2 linked regions of the Mus musculus genome follow. The protein of the gene in region 1 purifies or fractionates together with the protein of each later gene. This does not show direct contact. Links are inferred from orthologs where the notes say so. Each region holds a gene or a part of one and is shown on either strand. Other genes may lie near its edges.

Region 1 (4,884 bases):
AAGCTGCAAGTTCAGGAAAAAAACTGTTTAAAAAAAAAAAAGGTAGAAAGTGATTGAGGGAGACCCCTAATGTCCAACCTCTAGCCTCCACACATGTGCTTATCTGCACACACACGCGCATGTGTCCTTAGACACATATACAGGCACATATGATCATGTATACACATGCCACATATAGATAAAACTCCACTGAGCATACAGTTGTTCAATTAAAGAAATATTTATTTACCTGTAACCAGTACTTAGGAATTCCTTCATTCCTTGGGCTAGTTTCCCTGGGAGCTTTAGACTTCAACGAACATAGCCAATGTTCAGGCTTAATTCTCTCAAATAATACACATCTCCTTTCCAGGTGAAAGTGTATTGTATCTGCTTTGCTAATGGTCCTCCCAGAGAACTACTAGTTTTGCAGTGATTTAAATCCAGGTTGAAATGTGTCCAGTTCCTCGAACCAAAGTTCACAGAAAACGATAAATTCTTCCAGCAATCACCCCTAGTTAAAGCAGTGTTCAATGCAGTCTCCAGGAATCTTCTTTGGGAGCCTTTATGCTAATATACTTTATTTTAAACGTTAGGAAGGTATAATGTATTGCTTGTTCTTTATGCAAATAAGTGATGTGAAGCCATATAAGATACAAATATCCCAGCTCTGAACCCAACTGTGTAATACAAAACTGTAACGTTTTAATTATAGTATAACTCATGAGAAATAATTGATAGGAATTCTTCTGCACATTGCTCATTTCTAACCCAACTAACTCATAAACCCCTCACGTTCAGTATTCAGTGCACAGCACTGTTACATTGACCCAGGTAAAATAAATCATTGACTAATAAATTAATCTCATCCAGTCCACACTGGTGTTTCTGCTGTTTTCTGTCTGAATGTTCTTATTATATGAATTTCTTAGACCCTCAATTCTTTTTTTGGGGGGGAGGGGGCTCGAGAGCACTTTATTCTAATGTTAAGTAGTATGCCAAGCAAGAATGTTAAATTAAGTTTCACAGTGTAGGTGCTAATACTGGATCTAGTCTTAGCTGTCTTTCCAGCCCTAACACACCTAGCTTTTTACGTGAGTACTGGGGGTCAAACTCAGGCCATAAGCTTGTGCCAGAAGAACTTTACCATCAGGTCACCTCCCTAGCCTCCAAAGTCAAATTAATTAATTAAGACTTTTAAAAGGGTCTTGATCAATAAGGCTACATTTATCAAATGAAAACACAGGATAAGTATGAGTATCATATAACTACTATTACATGGGCCACTCTCACTAGTCATTTGAAATTCACTTTTAACGGGAAATTTTACATCCATTCCCCCCCCCCAGCCCCCCCCCCCCCCAGCCAGTTGTAAACTCAGAAGAGTGACAGGCAATGGTAAGTCTGGCAGGGCCACTTCCGGCCAGTAGGCGGGGTTTCCGGAGCCCCAAAGCCTAGGTCAGGCACACTGGTTCACTCGGCCCCGCCCCGCCCCGCCCCGGGAGCTCCGCCCATCGCCGGAAGCCCCGGTGGGCGGAGGCAGGGTCGTGGTCGCCCTGGGGACCCCGGCGGCGGCGGCGGCCGCCCCGGATAGCGTCCCCTAGGGCGGAGCTGGCTTTCCCGGGAGGCCGCGCCGAGTATCGGGCCTGCGTGCCCCGCGGGCGGCCCAGCTCCAGGGCTGGGTCCCGGGCTGCGGGAGCCCGCTTCCCGCCTCCAGGGGTCAGCGGTGGCCGCTGGGTCCCGGCGCGGGCGGCCCAGCACCTCCGACCTTGCTCTTCCAGTCGCCGAGGTGGCCGGCCGACCCCTGGGCGGCCCGTGCAGACGGCCGCCATTCCCGTGTCGCTGCGCCCGCGGGGGCCGCCCGAGCCGGCCAGCATGCCGCTGGGCCTGAAGCCCACCTGCAGCATGTGCAAGACTACGTCGTCCTCCATGTGGAAGAAGAGTCCACAGGGCGAGATCCTCTGCCATCACTGCACGGGCCGGGGCGGCGGCGGCGCGGGAGTGGCGGGCGGGACCGGGGGCGGTGGCGGCGGCGGCGGTGGCTTCGGCACCACCACCTTCGCCACCACCTCGGCCGGTCCTTCGCAGAGCAACGGGGGCGGCGGCGGCAAGCAGGTGAGCCCTCGGCCTCTCCCTCCTCGGGAGAAGGGCTTCCTGCCGTAGACCGGGCGGTGCGGGACGCACCGGGGCAGCCGGACGAGGCCATTTGCTTGTAGGTCGAGGACCTCTTGCCCATCAAGTCCTTGTCACGTTAATAAATTAGTAGGTCGCTAAAAATGTCAGCATTAGAATTCTGTTCTGAGATATGCAGGAAACTTGGGGGGGGGCGTAAAATAGATCAGTTCAGCAAACGAATAATAAATAGTTCCTGCCTTGTCCTCCCCCCACTTCTGTCCTCTTCCCGCTTGAAAGCAGCGCCATCTCTTGGGAGGCCCTACAGAGTTTAACATCTCAGCCCTCGGTCTTTTAAGTTTTTTGTTTTTAATTTCTTTTAACAAAGTGTATTATCCTCTGATCTTTGTGAGGTTATTGTATTGGCTTTTCTTCTGCAGTTTTAATTTCCTTTTCTCTAAATTGTGTAACAGAGTAAGCAAGAAATTCACAGAAGGTCGGCCCGGCTCAGAAATACCAAATACAAATCGGCTCCAGCTGCTGAAAAGAAAGTTTCCACGAAAGGAAAAGGGAGAAGACATATTTTTAAGTTAAAAAATGTAAGATGGTTGTGGACATTGTGCTTCCTAATGGGACACTGTGGGTGTGGTGGGCCTTCCCACGGCTGGTGTACCTCTCAGGTGCACTTAGGCCGTATTCTGGAGGGAAGGCAAGGTTTCCCAAAAGACAGCTCTCCTGGAAGAAATTGGCAGTTTTTGACATTAGAAAAGCAGTTTCTCAGTTTTTTTTTCTTCAGCTTTTATTTTTCTCATCTGAAAGATATAAAATATGAATCTAGAGGAATGTTCTATAATTTAGCACAGTGTATCTGTATGCAAAGAGAAATTATGGTTTTTTTTTTATAAATTGGTTAAATTTGTTCATTGACAATTTAATGAAGTTATGACTCTTGATACATAGTTAATTAAGAAAAATTTGTTGCTGGGCAGTGATGGTGTTAACCTTTAATTCCTGTACTCAGAAGGCAGGTACAGGCAGATCTCTTGAGTTTGAAGCCAGCCTGATCTACAAAATGAGTTTTAGAACAGCCATGGCTACACAGAGAAACCCTGTCTTGAAAAACAGAAGGAAAGGAAAAAAAAAAAAAAAAAGAACAAAACTTTTTTATGTCTTTTAAAGAACGAGGCAAATAACATAATTCATCAGTACCTTGTTTGTTATGATAGACCCAGAAAAAAATATCTATTGGTTCATGATGAGTTTGGTGATTATGAATGCAAAACTTTTTCTAAAGCTGATGTATGAAGATTGTTTAATGCCTGCTGTGGTAAGGGTTTTTTGTTTTGTTTTGTTTTATTTGTACATTTGGGACAGTGAAGGATATTGTAGATGTTTTTGTTTATCTCAGCTTGGTTGTTACTTTTGGAACAAAAATACCTCACTTGCCAGTAAACACCTTTCTAAAGTAGGCATACTCATTTGTAAAACGGGCCCAGGAGAAGTGTCATAAAGATAGTAGACTCTTGTTTAAAGATTTATTTGTATTTCTTGTGTCTGAGTGTTTTGCTGCATGTGTGCACCAGGTACCCTCAGAGGCTAGCAGAGGCACTGGCTCCCTAGGTATTGGAGTTACAGACAATTAGAAGCTGCCAGTGAATGCTGCGGGCTGAACCTGGGTCCTCCGAAAGAGCAAGTGCTCTCAAATGCAGAGCCTTCTCCCAGGCCTAATTGTTCCCTCTTAATTTCTTTTTACATGTGTTTTTAATTGTGTACATAAGAGTGCTGGTGCATATGCCGGGTACATTATGTGGAGGTCAGATCAGAGGACAGATTTCAGGAGCCTTGGTTCCCAGTGTCAACTCAGGCTGTTAGGCTTGCGTGGCGAGTTCAGACTGTGTTCTATTCAGTTACTTCATTATCAATTTCTCTGCATATCCATTCTTGGGAGAATGGCACAAAGTCAGGAAAGGCCATTTTTACGTTGTGATAAGCTTTGTGTTGCAGCTCTAAAAAGGGATTTTAATGGTGGTACAATGTGGCAAATTACTAAGAACCCTAAAGAGTTCAGGCTTGCAACAAAATTATATTTATCTGTATATTTTTTATAATTTCCATCTGGCCATGCTCAGTCTTTTAGAGCCACTGTATTTCTATACTTGGACTATTAATGTCTACTGGAGTGCTAGAGAGCTTTGTGTTGTGTTAGCTCCTAGCAGCATAATCAGAAACTTCACCTTTTGTTTTTCTGCGCTTTTAAGTTACTGGTAGCAAAAATTGTGGAAATATTCACCTGCTTCACATTCTGTGTGTGTGTGTGTTGTGTAGTTTCTGTCACCAAATAGTATTTTGTTCTTTTCAAATTAGATAGTTCTCATGTAGATGGTAAAATGGCCATACATACTATATAGGTACTCAAATGTTTTTGCGTCTGTTTTTTTGTAGCCTATCAAAGCGCCTGAATCTGTTTCTACCATAGTCACTGCAGAGTCAATCTTCTACAAGGTAAGCCTCTGGAGTCACTTCGAAAGGGCAGCTGGGCCTTGAACTCAGAGATCTGGGATTAAAGGCATGCACCACCACTGCCGATTTATGGAAGTTTTACATGTCATAAAGATGAACTATTACGAATATTCAAAAGTGAGATTTTTCCATCTCGGGATCCAGGGAGGAGGACCTGGGATGGATATCAGAAGCATAGGGAGAAACAGTACTGGAATCAGACAGCTTAGTTAATTTGATATAAATAGAACAAGAATGAGTATGTCATTCTGTTGTTGAGAAGATGTAAAGCAG
Region 2 (4,898 bases), on another chromosome or scaffold:
CCGGGAGATCTGTTTAGCAACAATAATAATCTGGGCCAGGTGTGGTGGACCATGTCTGTGATTCCAGCACCAGGGAATCACCTAGTGAGTTCCAGGTCAGTGAGGGTTAGAGTGAAATCCTGTCACACACACAAAAAGGAAAGTACTTAACACTTTACTGGGGCATAGGTAAATTATACTCAATTCTTTCAACTTTTTAAAAAAGATGATACATTGCTATATAGGGTGGTTCTCAAATTTTTTAATCTCAGGAACCCTATACTCAAAGACTACTGTAGGGCAGAAGCCATTATAGCTCAGGGGTAGACTACTAGTCTAGGATGTCCATTAAAGACATAAGAAATTTCTTTATTTCTGAGACAGGGCCTTACTCTGTAGCTCTAGCTGTCCTGGAACTCACTATGCAGACCAGGCTGGCCTCGAACTTAGAAATCCGCCTGCCTCTGCCTCCCAAGTGCTGGGATTAAAGGCGTGCGCCACCACTACCCGGCTAAATTTTTTTTTTAAATATTTATTTATTTATTATATGTAAATACACTGTAGCTGTCCTCAGACACTCCAGAAGAGGGAGTCAGATCTTGTTGTGAGCCACCATGTGGTTGCTGGGATTTGAACTCCTGACCTTCGGAAGAGCAGTCGGGTGCTCTTACCCACTGAGTCATCTCACCAGCCCCCGGCTAAATTTTTATCTTTCAAAAAAATTTAACGTGATGCAAAAGTTGCAGTACGTAATAAGATCCAATCTTGGGCTGTGGACACACACGTACGCACGCACGCACGCACAGAAAAAGGTATGTCTTGATTACTCTAACCTGGTCACACTATTCCCTACTGGGAGAAACTCGAGGACAACCCAGAAATCACTTAAAAATACAACTAATGCACAAGTATAATTTACAATGATAAATGTTGGACCAGCGCCACACCATTTAACTCTATCCCCAAAGGTAAGTGTGATTCAGGCACACATGGACTTTTAGAATGGATGGGGGCAGGGGATACGGCCTCGGGTTTCTTCATTCTCTAGTAAGGTGATCTTTTTCTTCACTTTCCCCCTAAATTGGGTCCAAAGAGGGGCACACTGTGATCACGCCAGAGCACCTTTAGGGCAAAGAAGTGGGCGAAGCAGGAAGCCGCAGGTTGTCCGAATGCAAGAGATGTGGGCCACCTACTCACATTCATATTTTCGATTGACTGGAGGATACTTGTCCTTGGTCGCCTTCTGTTCCTCCGTCAAATTGTAATCTCTAACATCTTCCTCCTCTTGAGCCATGATTGCGGAGTTGGTACTCTTACTTCCGCCCTTCATCAGCCAGACTTCGGCCCCGCGCCATAACTTCCGCTCTACACCCCACCCCCTTGGCAGCGGGTCTAAAAGGACCAGGACTCCATTCTGCAAGCTCGCGGAAGGATATACCCGCTTGCGGCTGCCGGGCTGCCGGGCTGCCAGGCTCGGTCCTGCCGCTTTTATAACATGTTTTAGAGACCAGCATCTTATTTCCTGCACTCATCACTATTAGTACCGAGGGAGTCAGTTAAAAGACGCCACCTTGAATTAGGCACCTGTAAGTCTAAACGGTGATGCGTTTTCTCCTCGTCTGGCCCTCCGAGTTGCTAACCAGACCCGGAAACACTTCCAAATTCTTTCGCTACCCTGAGGGAGTTGTCAGCATAACGGCCTGCTAAGAAGATGGCTGCGCATGAGCGTGTAGGGTGTATGTCACGTGATCTGCACGGGCCTCATCCCGGCAGGCGGGGCGCGCGCGCAATCCGTGGAAGTCTCCGGACTGTGGTGGGGGGTGGGGGAGAGAGAAGGGGCGGAGCGCGCGCGCCTCGGGACTCTGGAGAAAACGACTCTCGAGCGTCTCCATAGGCCGCGAGGCGGATGCTCCGCCCACCCCTCAGACCCGCGCTTTCTCATTGGTCGGTGTTGGCGCGAAGGCACGCGAGCCGGCCCCCTACGCACGGGCCGCAGGAAACAATAGAGGCCGCGCGCGCGGAGTGGAGCGCTCGTAGCCTCCCCGCCCCTCCTGCAACGCACGACCCCGGGATCCCCCAACCCCTCCCGGCTCTCCTGCCGCCATGGCTGACAAGGAAGGTGAGTGTGCCGAGGCCGGCTCGGAAGGGACGGTGCTGGCTTGTAGGGCTGTGTCGTGGCCTGTTACGCGGCCTGAGACGGAGAGCAGGCCCGACTCTGGCGAGCCTCGTCCCAGCGACGCCGGCCTGAGGACTGAGCTCCCCGGCGGGGCGGGCTAACGGCGCAGCAGCTCCTCCGGAGCGGATGCGAGGCGACGCCAGGTCTCCGGCCTAGGCGACTACGAGGCTCCCTGCCGGTCCCTCTGCCTGCCGAGACTCGGGGCGCCGCTCTCCATCCCCAGGCTCGATGCGCAGGTCTCCTCCCCGGGTTTGGCGGACTTGGCGCGCGCCACCGTGCTTCGTTCGGGGTTGGACACCATCGGCCCCCGAAGGAGTAACGGAGTGTCCGGCTGGGGTGGCCCCAGGACTTCCGGCCCGCCGCGGCCGAGAGTGGCGTTGGTGCCCGCGACCTGGGAGATTAAGATGAATCTCCATTTCGTTGTCAAAATCCGGGCGCTACGCCGGTGGCTTGGAGAGGTTTGTGCCCTTTCCGTTTACGTTCGCTAACTTGATTTGTCTTTTAAAAACATTTTAGCGGCCTTTGACGACGCAGTGGAAGAACGGGTGATCAACGAGGAGTACAAAATATGGAAGAAGAACACCCCTTTTCTTTATGATTTGGTGATGACCCATGCCCTGGAGTGGCCCAGCTTAACTGCCCAGTGGCTTCCAGATGTGACCAGGTGACGCGAATCTTGAATATTTTTGATAGTTCATATATTTTAATTTTTTTGCCCTCCAGTCACTCAGGGGGGACATTATCAGAGCTTATGAGTACTATTTATTTTCCTCGACTAGAAATAATGTCAAAAACAGAAGATCATTTTGTAATTTACCCTGCAAAGAAAACATGCTCTGTTGTTGTGTTGTTGTTTGATTTTTTTTTTTCTTTTTCTTTTACTTTTTTTTTTTAAGTCATCTCTATTTGTATGAATACACTGAAGCCAGAAGAGGGCATTGGGTCCCATTACAGATTGTTGTGAGCCACCATGTGGTTGCTGGGATTTGAACTCAGGACCTTGGGAAGAGCAGTCAATGCTCTTAGCCGCTGAGCCAGCTCTCCAGCCCTGTTTTTGTTTTTTCCCTCAGCATGGAGTTGAATAGCCATTCTTAAGACTGGAGTTGGCCATGTAATATAAAACTTGACCGTTTTCAAAAGTTATTCTGGGTCCAGTTTATTCAACAAAACATTTGATTTCTCAAGTCATTTATAAGGTTAATAAATAGCAAGATAAATCTGGGGTCTGCCTAACTGAAGTGGGGGCGAGTGTTTTCAGCAGTAGTGTGAGGTTTTAGAGCTTGGTGGGAGGTGGGGCAGAAGGGTTGTAATGTTTAGTGATTGAGACCTACTGATGGGGACTTTGATCCTCAGCACAGAAAGGGGGGGGGGCTGGGACCCTACAGCGAATTGCATACACAAAATGAAGGGGAAAGTCTGTCAGCATGAACTACCAGACTGGCCTGCTGAAACAAGTGGCAATCCAAAGATGGTGGATGTGGGTAATTACTAATGTAAATTTGGCAAAAATGTACTGAATTCTTTGGAAACTCAAGAGTTAAGATACGTGCAGAATTCAATTATGAGGCTGATGGGGTTCAGCAGGTAATAGAAATTTGGAGTAAAGAGTTGTTTTGGTTTGAGGGCTAGGAATTGAACCTTGTGCATGGTAAGGAAGGCAGTACCATCTGCAATACATCTCTACTGTCATGGAAAGTTCATGTGCATTTTACTAGTAACTTAAGAATGAGGCTGCTGGGCTGGAGAGGTGGCTCAGCGGTTAAGAGCACTGGCTGATCTTCCAAAGGTCCTGAGTTCAAATCCCAGCAACCACATGGTGGCTCACAACCATCTGTAATGAGATCTGACACCCTCTCTGGTCTGTCTGAAGACAGCTACAGTGTACTTAAGATTTAATAACAAATAACTCTTAAAAAAAAAAAAGAATGAGGCTGCTACCTTTGCAGCAGTGTAGAGAGAGATGGAGACCTTTATCTGAAGGGTGTTGAGCAAATCCATGCAGGCACCCAGAAGTTTGGAGTTGGACTTTTTTTTTTCATACATAGGAGTCTTTGTTTTTCCTGCATGTTTGTCTGTAGCGTGTGAGTACAATGCCTGCAGAGGTCAGAAGAGGGCTGGAACACTCTGAAACTGGAGTTACACTGTTGGGAGCTGCCATAGAAGTGTTGGGAAACAATTTCTGAAAGAACAGTCAGTGTTCTTGCTGCTGAACTATCTCTCTTGCCTGTGGAATTGGGAATTTATTAGATTAAAAAACTAGTTGGGAGTTCAAGCTTAGTAGAGTTATCTCTATCTGTTCTCAGTGGTTGTTAAACAATTTGTGTTGAGAGGGTCTGTGGTGCTACATACCTGTAATCCCAGCACTTAAGAGGCAGAGCAGGAAGATCAGGAGGTGAAGGCTAGCCTATGACAGACCATAAGAAAAAAACTTGTATGGTGGTACAGGTCTGTATTCTAGCACTAGGCATAATGGCCAGCCTGGGTTACATAATACAACTCTGTCCTCTCCAAAATGTGTGTGTTGGAACAGCGAGTCTCAAATTTTAGCTATTACATGATAGTTCATTATAGGGTCCCCCTCCTTCTCCCACACTTTTTTAAAAACTGTGTTGGGGGGCAGGGAGACAGGCTATTTTTGGGGGGTTTTTTGTTTCTGTTTTTTCTTGGAGACAAGGTTTCTCTTTATAGTCCTGGCTGTCCTGGAAGTCACTCTGTAGACCAGGGGGACCCAAATTGAAGTTCC

Evidence for each region. Proteins that work in one complex are often made in the same cells at the same time.
Region 2: the proteins of Gatad1 (region 1) and Rbbp4 purify together in Homo sapiens (affinity purification with mass spectrometry; 4 studies listed by BioGRID and IntAct, with this or other methods). This does not show direct contact. The link is inferred for Mus musculus from reciprocal best matches to the Homo sapiens genes GATAD1 and RBBP4.

The regions. Positions count from the first base shown.
Region 1 is NC_000071.6:3,644,590-3,649,473, reverse strand, and holds the start of Gatad1 (GATA zinc finger domain-containing protein 1), read left to right. Parts: upstream 1-1,537; 5' UTR 1,538-1,854; coding exon 1,855-2,094; intron 2,095-2,564; coding exon 2,565-2,690; intron 2,691-4,533; coding exon 4,534-4,593; intron 4,594-4,884. UniProt on the Homo sapiens protein: Component of some chromatin complex recruited to chromatin sites methylated 'Lys-4' of histone H3 (H3K4me), with a preference for trimethylated form (H3K4me3).
Region 2 is NC_000070.6:129,332,418-129,337,315, reverse strand, and holds the start of Rbbp4 (histone-binding protein RBBP4), read left to right. Parts: upstream 1-1,945; 5' UTR 1,946-2,082; coding exon 2,083-2,098; intron 2,099-2,671; coding exon 2,672-2,819; intron 2,820-4,898. Other genes in the region: Zbtb8os (protein archease), read right to left, coding at 1,177-1,273. UniProt on the Homo sapiens protein: Core histone-binding subunit that may target chromatin assembly factors, chromatin remodeling factors and histone deacetylases to their histone substrates in a manner that is regulated by nucleosomal DNA.